Linked DNA regions of Xenopus tropicalis. The protein of the gene in region 7 purifies or fractionates together with the protein of the main gene of each other region. This does not show direct contact. Links are inferred from orthologs where the notes say so. Each region holds a gene or a part of one and is shown on either strand. Other genes may lie near its edges.

Region 1 (4,190 bases), on a different chromosome or scaffold from region 7:
ACACTGTAACTAAACCACTGACTGTGACTGCAATCCAACCCTCCATTGGCTTTCCACCAAACAAAGTAAGAGATGGGGAAAACTTCACGCGTGAGAACTTTTCTCCAAAACTGGAAACACCAGACTGCAGGAGAAAAAAGATCAGTATTAAGGGTGGTAAATGCCTACTTAAAGGGAAATAATGGTTAGGGGACAAAAGAAATAATGGTCTCTGCTTAACAACAAAAAGGATAAGCAAAGTGAAGTGAAGTGAAAGAAAAGAGCATACAAACAACTAAATATAAATACTAATGTAAATATTCATTGTTATCTCACCCACCTTCTCAACATGGAGAGCAAGTTTGACTCCATTGTGCAACCAAGACAGAGCTACTATGGGATCTCCATCCACTTCGCTGCCTACAAGACTCTGCCAGCTGTTTGCTAAGTGATCAGTCATTCCCCAGCATTTGATTCGACCATCTGCATCAGCTGAGAGCAGGCGGGAACCTAAAAATACCAATAAAACCAAAGCAACAGTTACAAACACTACTGTCTATGTCCCTTCAAGGATTCATTTTCTGCTTCCCACATTTATCTTGTTTCTTCATATTTCCCTTTGCTCTCTGCCCTTCCCTTTTAAGTTATATGGTTTTCTTGTTTATTATCAAAAAGCCCAGCAATTTGTTTTACTGTACCAGATTGGTCCCACTCCAAGCTGGTAATAACTTCCTGGTGCCCAGAGTTAATAGAGTAGACATCCCACGGATGTTCTGTGTCGAGGATATGGATCAAATTAGTGATATCTGAGAAGAAAAAAAATCAAGTTATTTCAGATTTATCCATATTCCTGTAAAAACACTTTTTAATTTATCAAAACCCTGGAAAACAAACAATCTGGTGAGAATTATGCAATGTTGCAACTCTCCATGGTCAAATTATACTTGCTTTAACGAATAAGAATATATTCAATGAGAGCATAAAATATATACTTAAATTTGTGCATTGTAAAACGCCTGATTTTGAGTACAGTTGAACTTTTTAGAAAGATAATAGAAGACAGATGAACTCTTTGCACTTCAATGTAAATTTCATAAGGTAAATGAATGGGGGTGGGAAGGAGGGCTAACTACAGCCAATTGTTTAGCATTTTTTCAGTAACAAGCACTTTTCTTACAGCTCACACGACCCAACTATTGTGAGAGAATACACACTTCTTCACTTAACATTCTAGTAGGCAGCTCTGGACTGAGATTTAAAATAGGCCCTAGCATTTTCAGCACACAAAAGCTCAAATAGCCCCCAACTAGCGCTCTACTACACAGTCACTGTCTATGGCATCTTTCAGCAGTCCCTCTGGCATTTGCCAGAACCCACAGACTGGCAGTCTGAGCCTGCTGGCAGGGATTATTTACTAAGGGGGGGTAAGGTGCAGAATTTTTTTTCCCCACAATACAAAGTGGCACAGAATGACATTAAATAAAAAGTAGAATTTATTGCAGTAACACATTCCTGGGTCTGAATTTGTGCACCTAGGTCTCAAGCTGCCACGCTTCCACTACAAGCAATACTTTCTATTTTTATATTGGTGCAAGGCATTGTGTCTCAACCCTTTCTCCTTGTAGATTGTAAGCTCTTTTGGGCAGGGCCCTCTTCACCTCTTGTATCGGTTATTGATTGCTTTATATGTTACTCTGTATGTCCAATGTATGTAACCCACTTATTGTACATCGCTGCAGAATATGTTGGCGCTTTATAAATAAATGTTAATGTAATGTAAAAGGCATTGCCTAACCGTAATGTGTATGCCTATAGATTCAGATGCTTTAATTTTTTATCTGCGTCTATGCATCTATCTGCATTCTATGCATTCTAGTGACCCAAATACCCTTAATATACTAACCTAGTTCATTTTAAACATGGTAATATAAAAATGTAATCCAAGCAATCCAAGCTCTTTGGTAAGACCAGCTTTGGACTGGGAACCCAGGGACCCACAAGAAAACCTTAGACCCACTTTCCAAATTATTTGTCCTCCTTCCCCACCCAACCACTTTATTCTCCAAGTCTCTTTTATTTACATAGCATCTATTCTTCCATCTAATTCTTGACTTTCTTCCCATTCAGAAATAGGGAATGACCATGAAACAGGCCAAATGATCAGGAGCAGGAGACTGACACCTGGGCCCACCATGAGTTCTCCTGGTATCCAGTCCAACACTGGGTAAGACTCATTTTGGTTTGTCTTTTAATTGTTTTATGCATTATAGATAGAGAGAGAAAAGTAGACATATAACAGTTACTAAATAATAGAAATACACACACATATAATCACACTCACAGAGCGGTGCTGTAATAACAAAAAGATGTTACCTTTCTCCTCCTCATTGCGCTGATCTGTAGTGAAAGCAATAAGATTGCGGCAAGACCAAGCGCAAACTAGTGGGATTGATGGGCAGTGACTGGTCCGTGGTCTTTTGTCCCACTCACATACGTACCCCACATCCATGCTGACAGCAAACACGCACCTACTAACTATGGGAGAAGGGCTACAGATCGGGGGAACAGAAACACAATGGCTTACATTGGGAATGGACTGACTGACTGCAGCTATAAGAAACGAAGGCGGACGACAAGAAGCGTCAAAAAGCGAAAATATGCTAGAACCTTGCGTAGGGGATTTGCTACTAAACTGCTCTGGTTACTGCTGGTTCCAGAATCCCGTAGGATAACAAGGTTCTACGTAAAACCAGTAATGAAAGTTCCCGGCTACATTAGTGCGTCTCACGGAATAAGCGTCTCAATGTCGCTTTCCGATGGCGTCATCCTTAGATTAGCATGCCGACCTCTCCCGGCGTGCATCGTGGCAAATGCCTAAATTGCAGCTATAAATTCAATCTTTCTCTTCTGTTTTTCATGTACCCAGTAAATAAAACAATATCAAGTAATATTTATTGCTGCTCGGTGTAAATATACATATAGACATACAAAATTGTCACTCCAATATAACCGAATCAAAAGCTAGGGGCTTTAAATAAGAACCGGCGCTAAGGTATGTTTGTGCTCGCTTCGGCAGCACATATACTAAAATTGGAACGATACAGAGAAGATTAGCATGGCCCCTGCGCAAGGATGACACGCAAATTCGTGAAGCGTTCCATATTTTGCACTTATCTTATCAAATGGATATTGGAGTGAAAAACAAACCATGTATATTTATATATATATATATGTATTTAGTTTGTTTTTCACTCCAGATGAAGGCTTCTGTGTGAGACCCAATCGTTGAGTAATAAACCTTTCTATTTTTACATTTACATTTTGCTCACACTTTACTTTGGAAATAAATGTAATTTGGGACTATTTTAATTTAATATATATATATTCTCCACTCATCTAATAAAAAATGTGTATTTGTGAACAGTGTGTGTGTTTGTGTATATATATATATATATATATATATATAGATTTACACACACACAGGATTATGATTTAAAAACTAAAAATCTTTAGTTCCCCCCTTTATTATGCTGTGAAGATGGTTTCTTCCTACAGTCAGTGGTGTAACTATAGAGGAAGCAGACACCATGGTTGGGGGGGGGGCACCAGGGGCAGCCTGGACCATAGGGTCTGGTTCCTCTATAGCAGGGGTGGGCAAACTATGGCCCGCTGTCTCCGGCCCCCTTAAAAGAATGACGGGCCCTGATTGGTTGCGCCCCATGCATGCGCATAGCGTCAGCACACACGGGGCGCAACCATATAAAAGAATGCACTGGGGAGCCGGGGAACAGAAGGACGGGACGGAGGAAGCAGCGGGTCGCTGGCGGAGGGAGCCGCAGGTCATGAAGGATGCTGGGGGGGAGCTGAGAGGCCCCATAATTTTTGATGGCAGCCCCGGGCGTAACGCTGTCCCGGCCCGGTCCGGCCCGTCTGTTAGTCAATGTGGCCCCTGACCCAAAAAGTTTGCCCACCCCTGCTCTATAGTCACTCTCATTGATAAAGTTAAGGGTGCCCGCTGCTTAATATTTGCCAGGGTGGTGGCCAGGTACCTGTGTGCGCCAGACCCCTCCAAAAAATGATTGTGGAAATGTGAAATATGGCAAAATCAGGGAATGTAAAAGTGAGATTTCACTGTGTCTCATCCCACTTGTTGTGGGATGAGATACACAGTGTATCTACAAAGAAGTCAATGGAGATATTGAGCAGACCAT
Region 2 (3,500 bases), on a different chromosome or scaffold from region 7:
TCATCAGAATGTGTCTTTTCCAAAAACATATGGTTTTCTGGGGGTCTCTGTACAGTTAGCGGGTCTTATGGCACATAATACACTGTCAGGGTGCTCTGTTGCTGGCAGGTGATAAATCCATACGCACTATTCATTTTGGGGTCCGTACATACCACAGACTTTGGTATATCTATGCATATTGGGCATCAAACTGTTCAGTAGACCTCTGGTGTGTGTTATATTTAGTCATATTTGGGGTGATTTGCCTTTGTATGCAAGAAACTGTGTGAGATAAATGTGACAAATTGCAACATTTTTTGGTGTAGGAAGGACTCTTTACCCATGCTGGATATTTTCAGGGGTCGCTGTACATTTAGGGGGTCTACAACACATAATACGCAACAGGGGATCTTATTTTCAGAAACTGAGTTGGTAGCTGAGAAAATTCATGTGCATATTTTCATTTGGGTTCCTCTGTACACCTCATAATTTGGTAAATCTATGCATATTGGCCTCAAACTGTTCAGTAGACCTCTGATATTCATATTTGGGGTGATTTTCTTTTGTCAGAAAAATGCTAACTTTAGAAAAGCTTTACAGATTAGTACTTTGGTGTAGAAAGGCCTCTTTAACCATGTTAGATCCATCAGAATATGTACTTTCCAGGAATATATGGTTTTCTGTGGGTCTCTGTACATTTAGGGGGTCTTACTTCACATAATACACAAGCAGTTAGTCGAAGCAGAGTCAGCACCCGAGAAAATTCATATGCACTAATAAAAAATCTTTTGGCTCTAACCAGCATTTATAATAAAAGGCACTAAGTTTGTAAAGAAGCAAACACTAACTAACAGCAGCCAATAAGATGTTTCCTTAAGGGTGAAGACACATGGAGCTACTTAGCAGCAGCTACTTTCCATGGCTTCTAAACACCAGAAAATACCCTGCCATAGGCAATACTGTGAAATTAAAATACATGTAGTAAATGATCAGCATTTTAGTAGCCACGACAAGTACCTGCTACTAGTAGCTCCGTGTGTCTTCACCCTTAGACTAGGTAACCAGTAAATGCTACCTGCTGATTGGTTGCTAAGGGTTATTGCTCCTAGGAAAACTTACTGACTTTTATTACATAATCCCCTCAAAGCACAGTTCAGTGTGAAAATGAAACTGGGTAAAATAGACCATTAAATAAAAAATATTTCTAATATAGTTAGGCTAAAGTGAGCAGATGTCTAACATAATAGACAGAACACTACTTCCTGCTTTCAGCTCTCTAACCTAAAAATGTCCCAAACACTTTATTGCTTAAAAGACATATGTAAGCAAAGTGAAATACCATTACAAATGTTGTAAATAGAAATGTCTGAAAAAATGTAAATAAACAAATGTTTAAACAACAATGTTAAAAAAAAAAAAAAAAATTAACAGAACCATTATGTCCCATATGGCCCTCCCTAAAGTTGCTGATTGGTTACTGACTGCTAACAGCTTAGAGAGCTGTAAAGGAGAAAGTAGTGTTCTGGCTAACTATATTGAAAACATTCTTTACTTTGCGCATTGGTACAAGGATAAGGAAGGTACCCAAACCCATACTTTCCCAACTTAATGTTCACCCATGCCTCTTGCAAAACCCATTTTTTCCATGTTTTTTTCCCTTCAAGAACACAGCTGCCATCTTGGATCTGCATATGCACTGTCCGCTAACCCACAAAACATGACCATCTCCTGTGCTTGCATGTGATCGTTATGTCATGACAAAAGAAGGGAATGCTGGATAGTTTTGCAAATGCAAACCTGCAATCATCTTCTGCGCAATTTGAAAGCACAAACCTAACCCCAGTATCCAAGTGATGGCTTCTACTCTTAAAATATGATCAGTTTATATCAGAGCTGCAGGTGATCAGCAGAACAATGGGAAGTTAGCAAGTAAACAGCTCCCTGACACCTGTATTGCTAAAAGTGGCAGATAGAATAGCACTCAATAGTGAAAAAAGTCTGGCTCATGACTTCTGTAGTTCAAGCTCCTCCAATTACATGGAAGTAGGAGAAACATTAGGTTACCTGAAAGCAGGTCTAATGTGTAGCGCTGGCTCCTTCTTAAAGCTCATCGCAGGAACATGCACTGACATGGCTGCCTACACATCAATATGACAACTAAAATACATTTGTTCTTTGAAGAATACAATTTTAAATAGTAGAGTGAATTATTTGCTATGTAAACCAGTCATTTGGAAATAAAAAGTACACCATCAAAATCGTGACAGAATCAAGGATTTAAGGATCATTTTCTTATACTATTCTATATTTATTATGCATAAAAATATCATAATATGAAGTGCTGTTCATTAATATTGAAAATATCTAGGTGTCTTGTCACATATTTACCTCTACAGTGATTCCACGACCACTCTGTCCCACTGTTACCGTGCCAATCTTGACTAAGAAGTCACAGTACTGGTAACGCGTGCCACGTGTTTCCATCTTGTTGGCTTTCGCATTCTGGAAGAATCCCTTAAGCTTTACCATAAGCACATCCAGGTTTAGGTCAGCAACTAGACATGGACCATTCTCAAATAATGCAAATGTACTGAGAGGGTACTCTGAATTGTGCATAACATAGAGGAGCTTCCCAGCCTGACCTGAAATTTAGAGCATATAAATGCAAATACTCTTTAATTTAGGAATATACAACATGGCAATTTTGGATGAGAACTGTGAAAGGTTGCCTACAAATGAAGAAATGAACAGAGACAGAGAGCATATAAAAGAACATTAAATTGTATCTCTACTATATTACAAAATGTAAGTATTCCAGAACCAAGCATATATCTATATGGAATTTGTGTGCTCTATCAAAAATTACTTTCTCTAAAACAATGCTATTTTAACCAGGATAACTTTATCATTTTCAAACAGACCATACATACAAGTTCCTTTTACAATATCCCTTTAATCAAACAATCCAACTTTCATAAAATGATTCTGATCTAGGCCAAACAGAGCCTTTTACATGTTTACCATACTTATTGCATTTATTCCTATTCACTGCAGAAATTTGAGATGTGGGAACATTATTTCACACATGATGGACTTGTTTGATAGCCCAGACTACAGTAACGTGTAGTATTTTCACAGGTGACATGACACGATCATTTGAAGTAAGCGTTTTGGAATGGTGGGGCTAGATGGCTCCATCCAGAACATAGGGATAGCTAACATATTTTCCCTGCAAAATGTTTAAAACATATTCCACATAGTTCAATCTTGCCAAACCTTATACAGGTATGGGACATGTTATCCAGAATGCTCAGGACCTGGGGTTTTCCGGATAAGGGATCTTTCCGTAATTTGGATCTCCAAAACTTAAGTCTGCTAAAAATTATTTAAATATTGAATAATCCCAATAGACTTTTTTGCCTCCAATAAGGATTAATTACAGTATATCTTAGTTGGGATTAAGTACAAGGTACTGTTTTATTATTACAGAGAAAAAGGAGATCATTTTTAAAAATTAGAAT
Region 3 (4,150 bases), on a different chromosome or scaffold from region 7:
CTTAATTTTCCAAAGTTGCATGAAGTTTCCTGCAGGAGATTTAACCTCAGGCAACTAATCTCCCCGTGGGCCTTCATCCTAAGGTTATTGGCCCACGGGGAGATTAGTCATCCGCGATAAATCTCTGCTACTGCAACTAATCTGCCCAAAAAGCCTTTCCACCAGCAATAAAGTGAATTGCTGGTGGAAAGGCCTATGCATTGCTTTGTTTTTTTTGAAGTTGTGCAAACTTGCCTGCAGGGCTGATTATTAAATTCTGTTGTTAGCTGCACTGGTTTCAGAGCTGCCATGTAGTAATATAAGGGTATTACTATTACCCTTATATCTTGACATTTATATTCTCTATATACAGAATATTGAGTCAGCATCTAAACTCAGTAATGGACAGCAGCACATGTGCTGGGAATCAGCAGAAAAGAAGATGCAATTGCAAAAAATGTTTATGGCAGTTTTACTGTCCATATTAATCATAATTAAGAACTTCTTATGTAAGCTGCCATATGTCTACCACTAACTTTGCAGAAGGATGTAAGCTTAATGGCAGCAGTAGTATTAAAGATTGTCCATGTGATTGGTTATTGTTATAAGTAATGGAAAGCAGCAGAGCAGGAAAATTAATTTGTGCAATTTTGCAATATTTGGTGCAAATTAATGGCAACTTCTGACACAGACCTTAAGTGAAATTTGGTGGACTGACTCAAATAGTTGATGGCCCAATGCGAAAAGTACTGAAGCGCAACAATGTAATAGATTGTTGGTACAGGTATCGGACCCTTATCCAGAAACCCATTATCCAGAAAGTTCAGAATTATGGAAAGCCCATCTCCCATAGACTACATTGTAATCAAATAATTCACATAATTCCTTTTTCTCTGTAATAAAACAAACTGTACCTTTTACTTGATTCCAACTAAGATATAATTAATCCGTATTGGAGGCAAAACAATCCTACTGGGTTTAATTACTGTTTAAATAATTTTTTTAGTAGACTTAAGGTAGGAGATTCAAATTACGGAAAGACCCCCTATCCGGAAAACCCCAGGTCCCAAGCATTCTGGATAATGGGTCCCATACCTGTATAGGTAACAGCAGTCAGCATGTCAGAAGAAAAAGAGAAGTGAAAATTAAACTGAATGAAATTAGATGTCAGTTTGATGCTGTTAGTGATAAATTTCTGTTAGAAGAAGTAGAAATGAGCAGACTAAGAGAAAGAATATGTACACATTTCCATATCTACCATAGGTCTGCTGCAAATTTGACAGTGAAATTGCATGAGAACTGGGAGAGTAACAAAGAAATGGGTCCAATTCATAACAGCAGTATAGGGGGTGGGAGGAGGATAAGGTTGGACTCTCGCCTAATCATTATTATAAATTTATTTTTCCTTTTGTTCTGAGCCTGATGTCTGGGTTTATTTTCTGGGATTGTCCATTTTTAAGTCTAGTTGAATTGTTGAATGTGTTGGCTTTCAGTCCATGTAGTTCATGGGGACCATATCTTTTTCGTATGAATAAACCTTTTTTTAACCTTTGTTTTTATGCCTTTTTTAACCTCTGGCAAATGTTTAAGCTGTGAAGCACCCATCCAAAAAGAATATTATATGGTAGTTTGCACTCTTAATTATTGAAAGCAACAGGAGTGTAGAAAGGATCTAAGGTTTTTTTTTTAAATTATTATAAGCAGGAGAAGGTGTTGCATCAGTTGGATTGTTAGTGCATTTTTAAATAGCTGCCATAGATTTGTAGTTCTACAGTGGAATTGCAAAAGAACAGAGTGAATTTAGTGAAATTAGCAGAGAGTTCCAGTAGTCCAGGCGAGATATTATAAGAGAGTGAATAAGAATTTTGGCAGCATCTTGGGTGATCAATGATTGTATTTTGGAACTATTTCTTAGGTGAAAGTGACATGATTTGATAAGTGACTGGATTTCAAATGTAATTTCAGGATCACTGCCTTCTCCACCAAATAACAGACTATATCTTTCTGTAAAATACTAAGGGGCACATTTACTTTCCCATGAACGGGCCGAATGCGTCCGATTGCGTTTTTTTCGTAATGATCGGTATTTGGCGATTTTTCGGAAAATTATCGCAACTTTTTCATTGCCATTCCGAATGTTGCGCAAAATCTGGCGATTTTTTCGTAGCGTTAAAACTTACGCGAAAAGTCGCGCTTTTTTTGTAGCCATTCCGAAAGTTGCGCAAAATGTTGCGATTTTTTCGTAGCGTTCGGATTCATTCAAGCTTCAGTATGGGCCAGATTGGAGCTGCAGGGAGCCATTGAGTCCTATGGGAGGCTTCCAAAATCATGCTAAGTCTGAAAGTTTCGGCCGCCGCTTCCGAGCGCTCAATACGAAAAAGTCGCGACAAGATACGAGCGCATCGTAATGGCTACGAAAAACTCGCAAATCGTATTGGTAACGAAAAAGTCGCGACAATTTCCGAAAAGTCGTAAAGGCGCCGAAAAAAACCGCAAAAAATACGAAAAAGTTGCAAAATGTTCGTTTTCCAATCGGAATTTTTCCAATTCGGATTCGAATTCGTGGGTTAGTAAATCAGCCCCTAAATGTCAGTTGTACTACTCATTGCAGACACAAAAGGTCTACTTTACGGACGGAGTAGCGTTATTTGATAAGAACAGCTACTAAATATTTACATACAAATTAGCGAAAACAATTCCACTCCGCCTTTGCACTAACATAAACATTAATGAAACACGTCTTATGTCAATCTTACCTGCATTTTCACGTTTTCCGCCAAATCCCTCTCCTTAGGGCTATAAAGATTCCGGTCACTTCTTCCACGTTCAGACGGAGCACTTCCGGGTAAGAGCTCGCCTCTGGAAAAAAAAGAGTAATTCCGGGTCAGAGGGGGTAGGACTTGTGTACTCCAGTCTCGAATGCCTATCCGCCCCCCAGACCCGAAGACAGGGGTGGGGGGAAACTTCTGGGGACATGGCAGAAAAAGGAGATACAGAGGTACAAAGAGGGGATTGTGTACATATTAAGTACATGCGAAAGTATACGCCGCTATTTGTAGCCGGTCTGTTGTAGCCACTCCTTCCTTAAAGTGACGGCCACACATTACACGTCTGTACCTGAGTAAGCCCCCTTTGGCTGATTCCGAACATCCTAGGGATTATTAAACTGTGGCTTGCTAGCAGTTACACTATAAGTCACTGCACCAAGCTATGGGAACATGCATAGAGCTGCTGTTCCGAGAAAAGCAGAGTTTTTATTGTAGTTTGGAGAAATCAGTCATATGTTGTCTCAGGACATCCTGTTGTGTGGCTTCTGCTTGCTCTTGGAGCAGGCAATTTGTCCCCACTTGAGATGTGCGACCCTTAAGTTTCTTATGAACCAAATGGATGTTTTGCCGAACTTCCTATGCTCTTAATGAAATATCTGTATTGTGTCATGCAAATACTAAGGCAGATAACACATGCATGTTTATATATACAACTCATGTGGAAGCATTTTACCAACATTTGATCATTTTTTTTTGCTGTGGAAATCAAAGTAAAGCCGGCTATACGCCATAAAATCTGCTTGTTTGCCAAGGTTGTCAAACCAGCGTATCTTTCCCCCAATATGCCCAGCTAAGGTGAGTGATATTGGGCTAATCCAGTTGATTGGCCACAGGCAATCAGCTGACGCAGTCCTTGAATCAAACCTGACTATCAATGTCTGGTGGATTTTCTGGGAGATATCAGTTGGGTAGGCCCAATGGAAGGCCCCATGGCTGAGCTGCCGAATCAGTCTGAAGGGCCTAAATCTGCAGTTTAAGGGCTGTGACAGACGGGGAGATTAGTCGCTGCATGACAAATCTCCCCGATATGCCTTCCCACTGGCTAGAATGTAAATCGCTGATGGGATGGCATATGCGGCGCCAAAATCAGCGAAGTTTCCTCTCAATGCAACTTCAACAATTTTGGCAAATCGCTGCACCGCGTGTGCCATCCCACCGGTGATTTACGTTCTAGCCAGTGGGATGGCATATCGGGGAGATTAGTCGCCCGTGACAAGGGAGATTTCCACGTGATTTCCAAAGGGAGACATCCACGTGTGTATGATCACTTTTAGAATGGCATTCAGAAGTTCAAATATTCCTACGTATGAATAGATAAATGGAGTATGGTTTTACCCTCAAAA
Region 4 (4,271 bases), on a different chromosome or scaffold from region 7:
GGAACAGAATGGGTGGGTAGTGCTTGTATTGAACACCAGGTCCTTTCAAAAAAACACAAGGTCTAGGACTGCCACTGTCAGAAAGGTTTGAACCATAAAAAGATGGTTCAGGAATTCCAGTAGAGTACAAGAAGATTTCTACAAGTACATAGTTGATGGTTTCAGAGACTGCAGAGATAAACTGGATGAGCATTGTTAGACTTTGCAAGGAGGTGCTCATTGTTTACAGGGGTTTATGAACCTCATTACCCTGTTAAATAATAATAAAAAAATATATATTTTTACTTAATGCGCCCGATTGTGCTTAAAAATGGTAACCCCGGTATTTTTCATCAATGTCCCATATTGTGCAGAAAATAATGTTCATATAAAAGGCAGAAAAGATGGGACAGCAATATATAAATAGATACCATCAGTAGCCAAGTAAATGCATGGCAAAGATCCCAATTCTAATTACAAGTAAAAAAGACTGCAAGGGAACATGATCGATTAGCGCAGTACAACAGGTACTCCAGATTCCATTGCACAATAGCGAAACGGATAACAATAATATAGTACAATAACCCTGCTGATTGTACTACTAATAGGCTGTATGTTCTCGCCCAGGATTCCCATACACACAGCGCCCTCGCCTGGCGTCGCACGGAACATTCGGGCAGAGGCCTGCTGTAGACACAGGGCTCGATTTGCCTCCCCCTCCTCGCCACGTGACCGGCTCCTGCCAATCGGGCTCCGTGTTGTCGCAACCGGACGCCATTGCTGCTGTCAGAGAGGCGAACCTACGGTCAGTGTGTGAGGCACAGGAGAGCGGCGGGATAGCCCGTGCCCGAGTCAGCTGTGAAGCCGGTGGGACAGGGAACCTTCCGAAGCCCTAGTGACTTCTGCGCAGGATTAGACCAGGGCCTTACAGCACAGGCTGCGCGGCATTCACCACGGAAGAGGACAAGGATCCCGCGGCCTCCTTCTGTGACCGAGAACCGTACATCTGTCGCTTCGTCCAGATATCCGTGCGGCGGGCATCTGAGCAGGGGGGCATCGCTGGCCACACAGGCGCCTCAATGACAGACGCTTGCGGGTTCTCATGTGACTGACATGGAAACGTGTCCTGTGCCATGAGTGGCACCAGTGGGGGCTCCTGTATCTGGCACCACCAGGATCCCATTGGCTAAGGATTGGTACCTGCGGGGCCCTAACTACCCATTGCCCGCTTGGCTCCTGGGCCTGTGCCCAGCACTGTGGGCGCCCATGCATACATTTGAGTGAGTGGGAGCCGGTGTCGGGGTATTGACGCCGCCAGTGACAAGCCTGCAGTATTGGATGTCGGTATCCTGGCACTGGGCGGCCTGGCTGCTGGACTTGCACTGCATTCCCTGACAAGCAGGGGGAGGCCGCACTGTTTCCTTCCTCTCTTATCCCCCGGCCCGGAGCGCCCCTCCCCCACCCGGGTGACTCATTGCTCTGCGCCGCCGGACTATCAGGAAAGTCAGGGTTTTCCTCGGCACCCTCGGGGTTTCCCGGGACATGGCCATAGTCACCGGAGCTTAGTTCTACTCGCAGCCCAACTGCGGATCTTGCGTGGATCGGACACTGCCTGCTCTCTTTCTGATCGGAAGCCCCTCATTTGAGACCTTTAGTCATGCTCAGCTTTGGTAGCCAGGCTCCCGGTGGATCATGACTGCGGCGGCTAACTGGGCGGCCAACGGGGCGAGCCTGGAGGACTGTCACTCTAACCTCTTCTCATTGGTAAATGCCATTTATTTCCCCTTTAAACGGCTCCACATCCTGAAGCCCTCCAGTTGTTGTTAAGCAGCACTTAGGCGCTGGAAGTTGTAGTTCAAGGACAGCTGGGGGGGGCTCAGGGTAGACACCCCAAGGGCCTTCCTGCTCTGAACACTGCCAATGGCTTCTAACTGCTGAATTGTCTCTCTCTGTCCTTGTCATATTGGTGATGTCATCTGGCTATTACATCTGGCTATTACATAGCCCTAGGAATATGCTCTCCACATGGGTTGCACCAGACATCTCTTTATTCTGTTTGTGGACCACTTCCACTTTGTGTCTGGAGGATGCTTGCTTTTGGTTTAGCCTTCCCATTGGCAGCAAAAACAGAATCTTTTGTCATCAAAGTATCTCTTTGATTGTAGTATTTTCCTACTCATCTTTACTTATAATAACTGCTATTTACACTGTTTACGTTGTTGATATGAATTGCTAGATTATTCAATATGTATATGTTTATTGAGACATGAGTGTCATTAAAATTCTGGATGAAAAGCTGCAGCTTCCATGAAAATGTCTATGAAGATTCTCATTCATCCAGGTCATGATATACAGTATCTAGTAGAATTAAGTCTAAAACAACTGGACTTTTCTGAGTTTTTCTTGAAAACGTTTCACCGCTCATCCAAGTGGCTTCTTCAGTTCAAATGACTGAAGAAGCCACTTGGATGAGTGGTGATACGTTTTCAAGAAAAACTCAGAAAAGTCCAGTTGTTTTAGACTTAATTCTACTAGATACTGTATTCCATGAAAATGTTGTGTTTTTGTTAGGGTATTAAAGTGTTTCCTGGTTTTGTTTGTTTGTAAGACCTGTTGTAGTTAGTCCTTCAATTTAGTGCATTTTATTGCTGACAATGTTTCATATTATACATTTCATTTGGTTTTTGCAAGTTTTCAGATTACAGTCCATTGGTAAAGACACTTTTAAGAATAGTTGTTATTGAAACTTTCAGAATATTTATCCTGAGCTTTAGTTGGTTGATTCTTTATGGAGGCCTGGTGAGATATACGAGGATGTGCTTTCTATTGGTAGTTTTATTTTTGCCCAGATTGATTTGCCTTGTATGTACTTGTTTCTTTAAAGGACATGTCCAGCCCCAAAATATTTTTGCCTAGTAAAAGAAAACATAATTCAAAGCAACTTTGCAATGTATATTCATTACAAGTTTGTAATGGTTTTTGAATTGTTTGTATATAGAATTGCTATTAAAGCAGTGTTTGCCAGTCCTTTTCTATTCTCTGCCCTGGAGCTCTGGCATTTGAAACAATTTAACACAAGCCAGCAGACTGACAGACCTGCCTTGCTGGAGCAGACTGGCTTTTGCAACATTGTTTAAAAAATAACAACCAGGAGTTCAGCAAATGCTAAAAAATGTAAAAAATTTTTAGAAACTTATTGGAAAGTTGGTTCTAATTATGTTTTGTTTTATTAAGCAAAACATTATTTTGCATGTCCTTTAAGTACACAAATGTCTGTTTATACCAGTGACAAAAAAATTAATGTTATTCAGTCAAAGAACTGAACTTTGTGTAACAGAAGAGCTGTCAGTCCAAATTATAGCTGCATGAAACATTACATTATAGTTACCAGTCTGGAGTTTTGAGTAGCACTTTTTTGTAGGCTATCACTTTGTCATCATCTTAGTTTTATTGATTTATATGTACTGCTTCTTTTTATAGTGGTCTTAAGTACATTACAAAGCAAAGAGGAGGCTGTTAACCTGCTTAAATGATTGTGCATTGTGGAAGGAAACACATGTGGGCATGTTGTTCTGTGTCTATGTGCTGTTCAATGAAGCCAGGTTGGCTCTATTGGCAACAATTTCCCAGGGGACATTTGGGGGCAGAGACGAACACCAAATGCAAGGCTGAAGTCACTAGTGGTATTTTCTCCAATGATGCAAAACAATGCTGCTGGATGTCTCTAGCGCAGACTGGCAATGACAATAATGTTAACTGACTGTCGCTGTGCACGCAGGGAAGTTTTTGTGTAGAAATCCGCACTGTATATGTAGTGACAGCCAGTTGCCATTTAAGTCTATTTCAGTCTGCACTAGATGAACCAGATATTTCTCCACTTTACAGAGATTTGCTGGAGGAGAAAATGGTGTGTGTGGAATTAGCTTAACTGTCCTTGATCAGATATTTTAGTTTACTTTGTTATTCTTTGTACTGTCTGTGGGAAAATGGACTTATGTTGGATACTGTTGTATTTGACCACAAACATTTTTCTATGTGCATAAAGGACCCACACATATACAGCTGTCATTTTTTTTGCAGTGAAGCTTTGAGCAATAATATTTTGTACTTCCCACTCCTACCCCTCAAACTTTTTTTGTTAACCTGTGAGATCATGTAAGTGTTTGTATCAGCACTAGCCCATGTGCACCATCATTTGGGAGGCTCCCATAAGTCAGTGTGATATGTTAGCTGTCTGTGGGAAATAGATAACACTTAATACACCAAACTGCACATTAATCAGACAGTCATTT
Region 5 (3,500 bases), on a different chromosome or scaffold from region 7:
GTATGGCATAAAGGCAAGAGTTCACAGGGCAGTTTTAAACATTTGGCCCTGCAGCACTCAGTGGCCTAGTGGAGAGAGCACAAAATGATCCAACACTCCCCTCATTAAAGGAAAAGTAACACTAAAAAATTTTTAACTAAAAAATCTATTCTACCCTCCCCCAATAATTGCCCTATCCTGAAAACCATTTGTGATTTTGAATGCTTTAGAAGAAAATACCTGTTAAACTCTGCTTCCTGTCATTTGAACAAAGGCGATACGGCAATGCCGGGGAAAGTATCAGGAGATGCATGAACTATGCAGTGATCGACTGATCGAGCCTAGCCTGACTCCTTCCTATACAGAAGTCAGGCTAGGATCGATCAATCGATCACCGCATAGTTCATGCATCTCCTGATACTTTCCCCGGCATCGCCGTATCGCCTTTGTTCAAATGACAGGAAGCCAAGTTTTTTTTACAGGTATTTTCTACTAAAGCATTCAAAATCACAAATGGTTTTCAGGATAGGGCAATTATTGGGGGAGGGTAGAATAGATTTTTTTAGTTAAAAAATTTTAGTGTTACTTTTCCTTTAAGTTATGGCAAATCCCTGCCAGTGTGGGTACACTCGTTTGTTAGACCATTGCTGTTTGAAAATGCTGAGCACTAAATGTCCAAGAGTCAATTTTAAATGCCACAGCACCAACAAAAAGTGTGTGGATTCATTACCACCCAGTACCCAGACACACAGGCCAGCAGCAGACGTGATAGCTACGCGCACCCATCCCAAAGTAGTAATAGCCATTGTGCATCCCTAGGAAACAATTATGTCAAGTAAAAGAAAAACTGACTCCAGGTGCAGGATGTTCAAAGAACAGTGGACCTACGATTACTTTTTCATGCAGTGCAAGGAGAGAGCGGTTTGTCTGGTATGCCAGGATTCAGTGGCTGTGTTCAAAGAATGAATTTGCGTTGACACTACGAAACTCGACATATAGGATATCTATGAAAGGTTCACCAAACTGTGAATGATTTGGAGCTGGACTGGGCTAAACTAGCCAGTGAGACAACTGATGGTGTTCCTAGCATGGTGGGGTCTATGACCAAGAGATGGACAAACACAACCATTCGCGTCCAATAGTGATATCCTGCCTCATCCATCAACAAGCGCTGTGATTTACTGTGATCACTGAAGTGCAACTCATAAAGTTGTGGTGTACTGTGTTAATTTCATTAGGGCTCGTGCCGTAAACCACAAACAGCTTCAGGAATTTCTCTCTGAGCTGAATGTTGCCTATGAAGATATTATGTACCGCGCAGAAATGTGCATCGAGGGAGAGTTTTGAAATGTTTTTATGCCTTACTTCCACGGGTTTCTGCTTTTCTGTACCAGATGCAGAATGGAAGTGGCACCTTGCCTTTCTGACAGATGTAACAGCGCTACTCAACAGTTTCAATGTGCAACTTCAAGGAAAGGGGAAGCTCATCTGTGATATACATTCACATGTGAAAACATCTGAAGTAAAATTGGACCTCCTTATTAAAACAAGTAAAGGAGGAAAACTTCTGCCATCACCCCACTACGCAAAAGCTGAGAAACCATAAGAAACCATACCCAAACAAAAAATGTGTGGATTCACTGGAAAATGTTGCAAAGGGAGTTTTAACATACAGCTTTTACAGAACCCATTTTCAATTGACATTGAAATTGTTAATCCGATTTACCAAATGAAACTGGCCGAACTACAGAATTGTGACTCTCTGAAAGACGTATTGAAATCAAGCAGCCTTACAATTTCTATGCATTTCTCCCCTCTGAGACATATCTTAATCTCAGGAATCATTCACTCATAATGACAACCATCTTTGGCAGCATCTATGTCTGTGAACAGACTTTTTCCAGAATGAAACATCTGAAATCGCCAACCAGATCCAGACTAACGGATGAACACTTGCATCACTTGTTATGACTGGCAGTGAGAAACATGGAACCGGACTATCTCATCAGCCAAAACCAGGTCCATGCTTCCCATTGAAGTCTATGTTTGTTAAAATTGTTTTTCATTTTAAATATTGTATTGCCCTTTCATGTTTTTTTGCACTACAAATAAGATATGTGCAGTGTGCATGGCAATTCGTTTGTGGTTTTTTAAAAAAAAAATTCAAACTATAGTCCAGCAACCCAACAGTCTAAGGGAAAATGAACTGGCCCCCTGTTTAAAAAGCTTGAAGATCCCTGCATTAGTATATTAAAGGAATACTATCACGGGGAAACATATTTGTTACAAAACCCATCAGTTAAAGGAGATTCTCCAGCAAAATCCTGCATTGAATCCATTTTTCAAAAACACAAACAGATCTAACATGGATTCTAATTTTGAAATTTCACATGGGGCTAGCCATATTCTTCATTTCCCAGGGTGCCATGTGACCTGTGCTCTTATAACCTTCAGTCACACTTCACTGTGGCGCTGCAAGTTGGAGTGATATCTCCCCCCTCCCAGCAGCCAATCAAGAGAACAATGGGAAGGGAGCAAGATAGCAGCTCCCAGTAGGTATCAGAATAGCACTCAATAGTAAGAAATCCAAGTCTGGCTTGGGACTCCTCCAGTTACATGGCAGTAGGAGAAACAACAAGTTACCTGAAAGCAGTTCAAATGTGTAGCGCTTCTGAAAGCTCAGACTTAGGGACACTTTATTGCTGCGCTGCAAGTTGAAGTGATATCCCACCCCCAGCAGCCGATCAGCAGCCGATCGGAAGGGAGCAAGATAGCAGCTCCCAGTACGTATCTGAATTATTTGCTATGTAAACAGTGTCATTTAGAAATAAAAAGTACACCATAAAAATCATGACAGAATCCCTTTAAAAATAGTCGAAGGTGATTATCTAACCCAATGTACTGTTTACATTCTGGCATGAAAAGAACACGCTTGTAGAACCAATGCCAAATGTTTTATGTTGTTTTATGTTACAAATGCAAAATAAACACCTTTGAAAAAAAAAAAAAAAAAAAAAAAATAGTTGAAGGTACCATGAACTGACGAGTCGGAGTCAAAAGTATTTATGTACCGACTGCACAGAATAAACACCTATAGCTTTTCCATATTGACACAAACACTTCAACTGCCTTCAAAATGTTATTTTAAAACTTACTGTATGAATTTGCGGGCAAAAGACTTCAGTTTCCCAGTGGCTGCCGCTGCGGCCAATAGCAAGTCCAGGCTCTTGCCAGACAGCATATGACCCAAGACTCCCAGAAGACCCTCTGGAGACTTTGAATGGTCAGCATCCATTGTCTGTGAAATATAAGATCATCACAACAGAGTAGGAGGATTAATATGTAATAAAGGCATAGCAGCTATCACTTATAATAAGGAAACCTGACCTGGATTACATATAAAATAAAAGTGATAAAGACTGAATCTGTGGTTACCCTCAGATAAGAAAATGAGCAGCTGGGCATCATATATGCATTTGCTGGCCGCAAATACTGCACGACCCCCATATGGCAAACTGCTA
Region 6 (3,078 bases), on a different chromosome or scaffold from region 7:
CTGCAACTGATGGGGATTCCTGTAATCTCACCAACCTCCTTAGGAAATAAGGCCTAGGTGCCCACAGCACCACCCTTCTGAAAATAACAACTGGCTGGGGCAGCCAACAAGTTTACCTTCCAAATATTTTGGCCAGCATCTGTAGACTGCAGGGTGGAGCTTACTTAAACATATCCATTCTACCAATCAGAATGAGGATGGAATGTTGTAAATGCACAGATCCTGGTACTCATGTTTTTGTTTCTGTATAGCAGCTCTTGTCCCTGCACCTTAGTGCTCACAGTGTGTTGTTATTTACAGTGCAGCATAGCATCCTCCTATCATGATAAAATGTATATTCATTGCTACCATTCATGAATTTGATCCCAACCTAAGCACAGTCATTTAACCCTTGCTTTGTCACAAAGGCTGACACAGGGGAGATAGAAAGCTTGCATGTAATGTGAATGCACACAGCATCCTTAATGGAGGTGGATAATTAATAGGAAAGATGCTAGAAGTGACAGAGGGTTAAAACTATAATGCAGTAATACAAATATTAAAGTAAATAAACATGATAAACTGTAAAGGCGAGCATTTCAAAATATGGACTTCTCCTATAACAGATAACAGCACCCATTTTGGGATTTTCATGCTCCAAACCAATCTGAGACTAAAATATTCCAATTCAGAGAGAAAAAGATACAAACAATTGTAATATTAACTTTTAAATAAACTTTGATATCTCAGAACATGTGAATAACTGTACAAACATAACTTGCAATGAGTAGATTCCATACATAGTATATCAGTTAGATAACATTCAAAAGTCTGACCCCAGTCCTTTGTCTGTTTAATCACAAATAAGCAGTTACCACCCAGGTGTTGCAGAACTACAACCTTCCATTCCTCATACACATGAACTGGCAGGGAAAACACTGAAAAATATTAGCCTTCTTGCATACTGCCTTTTCAAAAGCATGGCAGAAAAGCACAATAAACAGACATGTACATGAGCAATAGCTGTGACTGAGTTCCCTTGGGACAAACATTTTCCTTGCCAAGTCCCATGATGAATACAACCAACACATAGAGCCATGCTATTGCATTTCAATGAATCCTTGTGACTTCTAAAGTTCAAGAGTCCTGATTAGAACTGCTTATTGGACTAGGTCATTTCATCGATGATAACACACATAGCTGCATCCTTATCAATTGTGGTCTCTTTCAGAGAAGCTGCTGCTGCCTCCTGGGGCCCCGCATGATGGTCCGTACAGGGTTCCCGAACATCCATTGGTTCAGTTTTTACACTGACTGCGCCATCAGAAAGAGGGAGGTCATTGGGTAGCGATGCCAGACAGTTCTGGATCATCTCCACCACTCGCTCTAGATGTTTCTGGAACCTCTCTGCCGTTTCCAGCCGCTGACGTTTCTGCACCTCCATCATCACCCGCAGGGTCTCACGTGCCTGGTGGGGCCTGTACTCATTAATAAGGTGGTGCATGTGAACAAATAACAACTTTAGGTCCTCCAGTTTCTCCTCCCTTCGGATGCTGCCTGGGCTTCGGATCAGGATGTCCAACATATCCAGAAAGTTGACCAGGATGGACATAAGGAGCTTCCTCAGCTCCTTCTTATGGTCGAACTGCATGGGGTGGAGCCTCTCGATGCCCTGAGTTTCCAGAGGGCGGATAATAAGGTCATCACACTGAAACTGGTTGCCAAACATCATGTAGCTGTCCTTTATGGGGAGGGGAGGCTTGGGGGCCAGGCCCTTGCGGATGTTTTCATCTGTGTACTCCTTAATGTACTGCATGGGAGGTATAGGCAAAGCGCTGACCTGCTGAGGCTCCCCCATTATGAAGTGAGTAGGAGAACCTGTGACACAGAAAGAAAAAGCCCATTCAGTTACATACAAATAACAATATAAATCCCTGTGTGTGCAGCACATATATATATATATATGCATTCCAATTGATGATGCGCACTCCTGTATTTTTTTAGTTCATTTATTGTTACATTATAAAGTTAAAAACATCAACGTTTCGGTCCAGGTCTAGGACCTTTATCAAGATGTTAAGCCATAAAAAGTCACACACATAATGAGTCTTTATATAATACAAAATGCCTAACCCCGCCCACATTGAGCATAGCCCCAACCCCATTTCACAACCCTTAAGCTGGCCATACACGTGGCGATCTGACGATGTTTCGTACGACCATCGGTCGCACGAAACATTGTCAGATCCGCCACACACCTTTCAAGGCTGAATCGGCAGGTAAGAAGGTAGAAACAATAGGATTTTTACCTCCTTCTGCCGATTCAGCTCTGAAGGGAGAATTTTGGTCAGGCGCCTTCTATGGCGCCCGATCAAAATTTTCAAACTGGTCCGATCGGCGAGTCGGCCGATATCAGCAGATTCCTGCGATATCGGTCGACTCGCCGACATGCCATACACGCACCGATTATCGTACGAAACGAGGTATCCTGTATAGCACATACTGACCTGCTCCTCAACTCCTCTCTCATTCCCTCCTCACACGCTCGCATTCAAGACTTTGCAAGGGCTGCCCCCCTTCTCTGGAATTCGCTCCCACAAACTGTCAGACTTTCTCCCAATCTCTCTGCCTTCAAGAGATCTCTAAAAACACACTTATTTAGAGAGGCTTACCCTAATCTAGTTTAGCAATACCCTGTGCCACACCTCTCACAACTCTGGCCATGCCCATTCCCACACCTTGTGTCTCAACCCTTTCTCCTTGTAGATTGTAAGCTCTTTTGGGCAGGGCTCTCTTCACCTCTTGTATTGGTTATTGATTGCTTTATATGTTACTCTGTATGTCCAATGTATGTAACCCACTTATTGTACAGCGCTGCGGAATATGTTGGCGCTTTATAAATAAATGTTAATGTAATAAAATACACAAATTGTGAATTAAAGAAAACATATCAGTACAATTAATAAACACTATTACAATTAATTAATTGTACTGATGTGTTTTCTTTAATTCACAATTTGGGGTTGGGGCTCTGCTCAATGTGGGCGGGGTTAGGCATTTTGTATTATATAAAGACTCATTATGTGTGTGACTTTTTAT
Region 7 (4,178 bases):
GAAGTGAACAGTTCTACAAGCAAATAAAATATTTCAAAACATCCTCCAATGAAAGGAAGTGCTACAGATAAGATTACAAGATTAGAAAATGATGTATTAGTCACCAACGTGACAATTTAAATATACTAGCAAAGGTAAGAGCCAGCAGACAGTTTACACAAACATAGCAGAGTAACCAAAAGTTACATGGGTCCCAGTTTTTTAAGAGATTTTATTGGCTCGAGGGCCATTTTTTATGTAATTAAAGGTCATGACAGACCGGAAGATTAGTCACCCTAACTGGTGGGATGGCATATCGGGGAGATTAGTCGCCCGCGACAAGGGAGATTTGTCGTGCAGCAACTTATCTCCCCGTCTGTCATGGCCCTAATGGTAATGTACCACAAACCTGCCCAACTACTACTAAACAAAGAATTGACAAGGATTCATGGGAGGTAAACAAAGGACAGGACAGTGGAACAGATAATTTATTACTAAGTATTTCTGTACTTGGGGAATTCTTCAAGAATATCTAAATATTACATTACTTAGATTTAAAAATAAGCAGGGTTATTTATGATGGTCACAAGTTGTCTCAGTGAGCATCTCAGCAAATGGGCTATTAGATGTTAAGGCATGTACAAGAGGCAAGGAACTACAAGCTTACATTGAGTATCAAATTGCCCCAAGTTGCCCCTGAGAGATGATCCTCGCCTCCAAACCATCACCAGTGGGAATGAGAAAAGTAAAGACAGAAGAGTTTGACTAGTTATAATCTTTGAACATTTACCTTTAGCTAAGGGGGCAGAGAATAAAATAATTAATAATAATTAAAAATGAATAGTTACAGGAAAACATTTAAGCTTACTCATTATACAAAGAGTGACATTTATGCATGGGCTGGAAATCTAATGCAGGATGTGAGTTAAACAATGGGACATGGAATTGTACAAAATGTTCCAGCAAAAACACAGAAATAATATGGAGGGTGCACAGGTACAGAAAGGGGAATATTTTTTTCTTGTGGAAAAAAAACAGTAGAAAAAGAAACAGACAATGCACTATTTGCAATGTAATGTGATGTCACTGCTACAGAACTAATGGATTTTTTTAACCTAATATAATACCTTATAAGTCCCCAATCTGTATTATTTAGCCTAAACCTGGCCCAGGTATGGGCTGCAAGACAAAACAGACCCTGGCATTTCAAGTACTTAAGACGCCCAAACAGCCACCCACAGGCCCAATAGTGACTGTCTATGGGCATCTTACAGTCCCTCTGGTGTTAAGCAGAATGTACAAATTGCCAGTCCAGCAACCCACCATTAAACCAGTAGTTCTACCTATGAAGAAGTGAGCAAAGCACTGTGAGAATTAGCACCTTCCCTGGAGGATAACTAAAGGGCCAGAACCAAGAGTTAAAAAAAAAAAGGGTTGACAAAGGATTGCATCTTTTTAAAAGCTTTTTTTATTGATTCTTAGTCCTGAGAATTAAAAAAAAACTTCATGCTAGATGGGCTAAATAATGTCTGTCTGATAAATAATTCAAAGTTCTTACAGCCATTAGTATAAGACTGCAACTAAAACATCAAACATGGAGGCGATTATAAAATCTTGCACATACACAAACATGCCAATGTTTTAAAGAACGTGTGTTTATTTAGCAAATATCCCAGAAAAATCACATAGGTGCCATCACAAATGTTTTAACCTGAATGAAATCAAGCAAAGCATCATTTCAACTTTATTAAAAGTCTTACTATGCTGAGTTTAGAGAACAACGCATTTATTTATTCCTTAGTTAAGCCTGAAGTATAAGCAGTCACTTCATATCATGTGTAATTGCCCTTTTCATACACACAGCTCAGCCTCCAGTGATGTTCAACTTGTGGCCCTACCGCTGCCCTTCACGAATCCCAGCGGGTAACTGTCTCCTCAGTAAAGGGCTGGCATCCTTACTGATCAGGACTGGCTCTTTAAAGAGAGGGAAAATGCCATAGAAATGGGTAATCTGCAAGACGAGGGAGAAAATATTGACACATGGTGCTATGGCAAACACTGAAGAGGAGGAACAGCGGAGTAGGTGGGACCACAAGGCTGGATTACCCCAACATAAACATTTGTAGCTCAGACTCCCTCCCCCTCCTCCCCCAGCACAAGTTCAGCATCCCGGGCGTGTGCAGAGGAGGAGGAGGGAGCTACAAATACACAGTAACAGCACATAACTAGCACAATATCCCCATCAATAACTTCCTAACATGACAAGAAATGCAGCATCTCCGGCTTTCCTCGTTGTCCGGGGGTTACGTGTATATGCAGTGCTGCTGGTATAACAAACACAAGGCTGTGACAGACATGAGTGAACACAATAATTACCTCATAGACACAATAGCAGCAAGCACATGCATTCTACTGTACGGAACCCACGCAGGTATGTGTGCACCTAGAGAGGTGCGTTTGCTGCTCAAGCACAGGACTGCGCGATGCTCTAGGTGGTCCGCACACAGGTATGAACAGTGACCTAACACACACCTCCCTCCCACACGCCCCTCCCTTTAGTGCCTCTTACCCATCTTTCCTCTTAGCTTTGTAAACATGCCCGTAGGTGCCTCGACCCACTTTGCAACCTTCATATTCAAACAGCTCCTCCACTTTCTCCCGCTCGGCGGACAGCTTGCTCTTAAATTCGTAATCCATCCTCCTCCACGGCTGGAGCGAGGGCGTATTTAACCCATCAAGGCTCAGCTATCGCCCCAACCCTTTGCTGTCCGTTGGCTACTGCCGGTCGTTACATGGAATAAGTGCCAGGCTCTCCCTCCACCATTTCCTTGTTTTTCTTCTTCTTTGCACATAGACGCATGCCATGTACTTTAGCGGGAAGAGCGCCCTCTATCTTTACTTTCAATTTCACTTCCAGCAGCTGCCCGCTCTGCCGTGGTGCTGCCAAATTGTGGAAGCTGCCCGCCTGAGAGGCGTCACTTCTTACCGGGCCTGTACTCTGAGCGGAGGGTTCCTGGGCACAAACAACTGGCAGGGGGAAAGCCTATCACTTCATTCATTACTTCATTGCTGGCGATGCAGTGCCTTCATGTTAATAAATGCGCGCCAAATCACACAATCAATTATAAACACATTTATCTTTGAAATAGTGTTTTTTTCAGTGTACTAGTCAGACATTATCCATAGAACTAAAATACATGGCAAAAAATGCCTTGTTCAGGTAGCAGGGAATTCAACCATGCCTAATGCTGGCCAGTACTAATAGATGACACTGCAAACTTTGCCAACTAGAATAGAGAGCACTGAAATAAATAATGAAAGCGCGGAGGGACTGTGGAGCCAGCTGTGGCCCAGTTCCCTCCGTGCTTGTAAGGGGTTAACTCACCAGCTAGTGCAGTCAGGAAAGGGCAGCCCCCCCTTGCTCGCTCCTCCTCCCTCCTCTGTGCCTGCATTCCCGTGCTGCTGCTGCCACTCTGCTTCTGGATTCCACCAAGCGGCATCCTAGCTGCTCCAACTGCTGCTGCTGCCTGTGTCCATCAGCCCCCACCAGACCCCAGCATGAGCGAGGAACTACTGGAGCAGGTGCAGGCAAAAATTGCTTCTGATGGAGCCGACTGGCTACAACAGCTACTTGGCCCCATCAGCACTGAACAGAGACAGGGGGGACAGGCAGCCGGCAGTGCTGGGAAGCGGCCGGCTCGCCGCTCCCGCCCTCCCTCTCGCCTGAGCCCCAGTCCCCCACGCGCATCCAGGCGCACGTCCTCTGCCGCTGCCTCCCAACCCCCGACTGTAGTCTCGAGGAGGCAGCGTGCAGAGGTCAGGACTGCGGCCCAGGCACCTATGGCGGTCACAGCCACTGCCACCAATGCTTCTCAAAGACAAAAGCCCCCAGCCAGTGATAAGGCTAGGCGGGCCACACACAGGCCCCCACAGTGGAAGTCAGCACCCCCACTGCATTCCCTTGCCCCTACACCAGTTGCAGTCCCTTCCCCCACCATACCCCCTAGCCCGGGACCCCTTTTTGCCACTGCCACATCAACGCTGGGCCCTCATCTGGCTTACTGCAGAGGGACCACAGCGTGATAGAATTCGAAGAAGGGGAGCTTCCCCTGGAGGAGCTAGAGGACCCACTCACCCACTCACCCTGCCTATCCCCAGACCACATCTTCTCCACACAACTGGCCCTTTCCCCCTCCCCC

The links.
Region 1: the proteins of cdk19 (region 7) and med16 purify together in Homo sapiens (affinity purification with mass spectrometry; 6 studies listed by BioGRID and IntAct, counting the BioPlex papers as one, with this or other methods). This does not show direct contact. The link is inferred for Xenopus tropicalis from reciprocal best matches to the Homo sapiens genes CDK19 and MED16.
Region 2: the proteins of cdk19 (region 7) and med20 purify together in Homo sapiens (affinity purification with mass spectrometry; 5 studies listed by BioGRID and IntAct, counting the BioPlex papers as one, with this or other methods). This does not show direct contact. The link is inferred for Xenopus tropicalis from reciprocal best matches to the Homo sapiens genes CDK19 and MED20.
Region 3: the proteins of cdk19 (region 7) and med8 purify together in Homo sapiens (affinity purification with mass spectrometry; 6 studies listed by BioGRID and IntAct, counting the BioPlex papers as one, with this or other methods). This does not show direct contact. The link is inferred for Xenopus tropicalis from reciprocal best matches to the Homo sapiens genes CDK19 and MED8.
Region 4: the proteins of cdk19 (region 7) and med13l purify together in Homo sapiens (affinity purification with mass spectrometry; 5 studies listed by BioGRID and IntAct, counting the BioPlex papers as one, with this or other methods). This does not show direct contact. The link is inferred for Xenopus tropicalis from reciprocal best matches to the Homo sapiens genes CDK19 and MED13L.
Region 5: the proteins of cdk19 (region 7) and med24 purify together in Homo sapiens (affinity purification with mass spectrometry; 6 studies listed by BioGRID and IntAct, counting the BioPlex papers as one, with this or other methods). This does not show direct contact. The link is inferred for Xenopus tropicalis from reciprocal best matches to the Homo sapiens genes CDK19 and MED24.
Region 6: the proteins of cdk19 (region 7) and med7 purify together in Homo sapiens (affinity purification with mass spectrometry; 5 studies listed by BioGRID and IntAct, counting the BioPlex papers as one, with this or other methods). This does not show direct contact. The link is inferred for Xenopus tropicalis from reciprocal best matches to the Homo sapiens genes CDK19 and MED7.

Annotation. Positions count from the first base shown.
Region 1 is NC_030677.2:100,791,844-100,796,033, reverse strand, and holds the start of med16 (mediator of RNA polymerase II transcription subunit 16), read right to left. Parts: upstream 2,801-4,190; 5' UTR 2,489-2,800; coding exon 2,353-2,488; intron 786-2,352; coding exon 678-785; intron 490-677; coding exon 320-489; intron 125-319; coding exon 1-124. UniProt on the Homo sapiens protein: Component of the Mediator complex, a coactivator involved in the regulated transcription of nearly all RNA polymerase II-dependent genes.
Region 2 is NC_030678.2:70,770,635-70,774,134, reverse strand, and holds part of med20 (mediator of RNA polymerase II transcription subunit 20), read right to left. Parts: intron 2,622-3,500; coding exon 2,368-2,621; intron 1-2,367. UniProt on the Homo sapiens protein: Component of the Mediator complex, a coactivator involved in the regulated transcription of nearly all RNA polymerase II-dependent genes.
Region 3 is NC_030680.2:88,535,262-88,539,411, forward strand, and holds the start of med8 (mediator of RNA polymerase II transcription subunit 8), read right to left. Parts: upstream 2,801-4,150; 5' UTR 2,742-2,800; coding exon 2,736-2,741; intron 1-2,735. Other genes in the region: KICSTOR complex protein SZT2, read left to right, coding at 2,954-2,977. UniProt on the Homo sapiens protein: Component of the Mediator complex, a coactivator involved in the regulated transcription of nearly all RNA polymerase II-dependent genes.
Region 4 is NC_030677.2:145,341,029-145,345,299, forward strand, and holds the start of med13l (mediator of RNA polymerase II transcription subunit 13-like), read left to right. Parts: upstream 1-1,471; 5' UTR 1,472-1,671; coding exon 1,672-1,743; intron 1,744-4,271. UniProt on the Homo sapiens protein: Component of the Mediator complex, a coactivator involved in the regulated transcription of nearly all RNA polymerase II-dependent genes.
Region 5 is NC_030678.2:112,529,724-112,533,223, forward strand, and holds part of med24 (mediator of RNA polymerase II transcription subunit 24), read right to left. Parts: intron 3,278-3,500; coding exon 3,135-3,277; intron 1-3,134. UniProt on the Homo sapiens protein: Component of the Mediator complex, a coactivator involved in the regulated transcription of nearly all RNA polymerase II-dependent genes.
Region 6 is NC_030679.2:14,184,281-14,187,358, reverse strand, and holds med7 (mediator of RNA polymerase II transcription subunit 7), read right to left. Parts: upstream 1,869-3,078; 5' UTR 1,838-1,868; coding exon 1,148-1,837; 3' UTR 501-1,147; downstream 1-500. UniProt on the Homo sapiens protein: Component of the Mediator complex, a coactivator involved in the regulated transcription of nearly all RNA polymerase II-dependent genes.
Region 7 is NC_030681.2:77,212,074-77,216,251, reverse strand, and holds the start of cdk19 (cyclin-dependent kinase 19), read right to left. Parts: upstream 2,801-4,178; 5' UTR 2,677-2,800; coding exon 2,549-2,676; intron 2,537-2,548; exon of another isoform or gene 2,356-2,536; intron 1,991-2,355; exon of another isoform or gene 1,617-1,990; intron 1-1,616.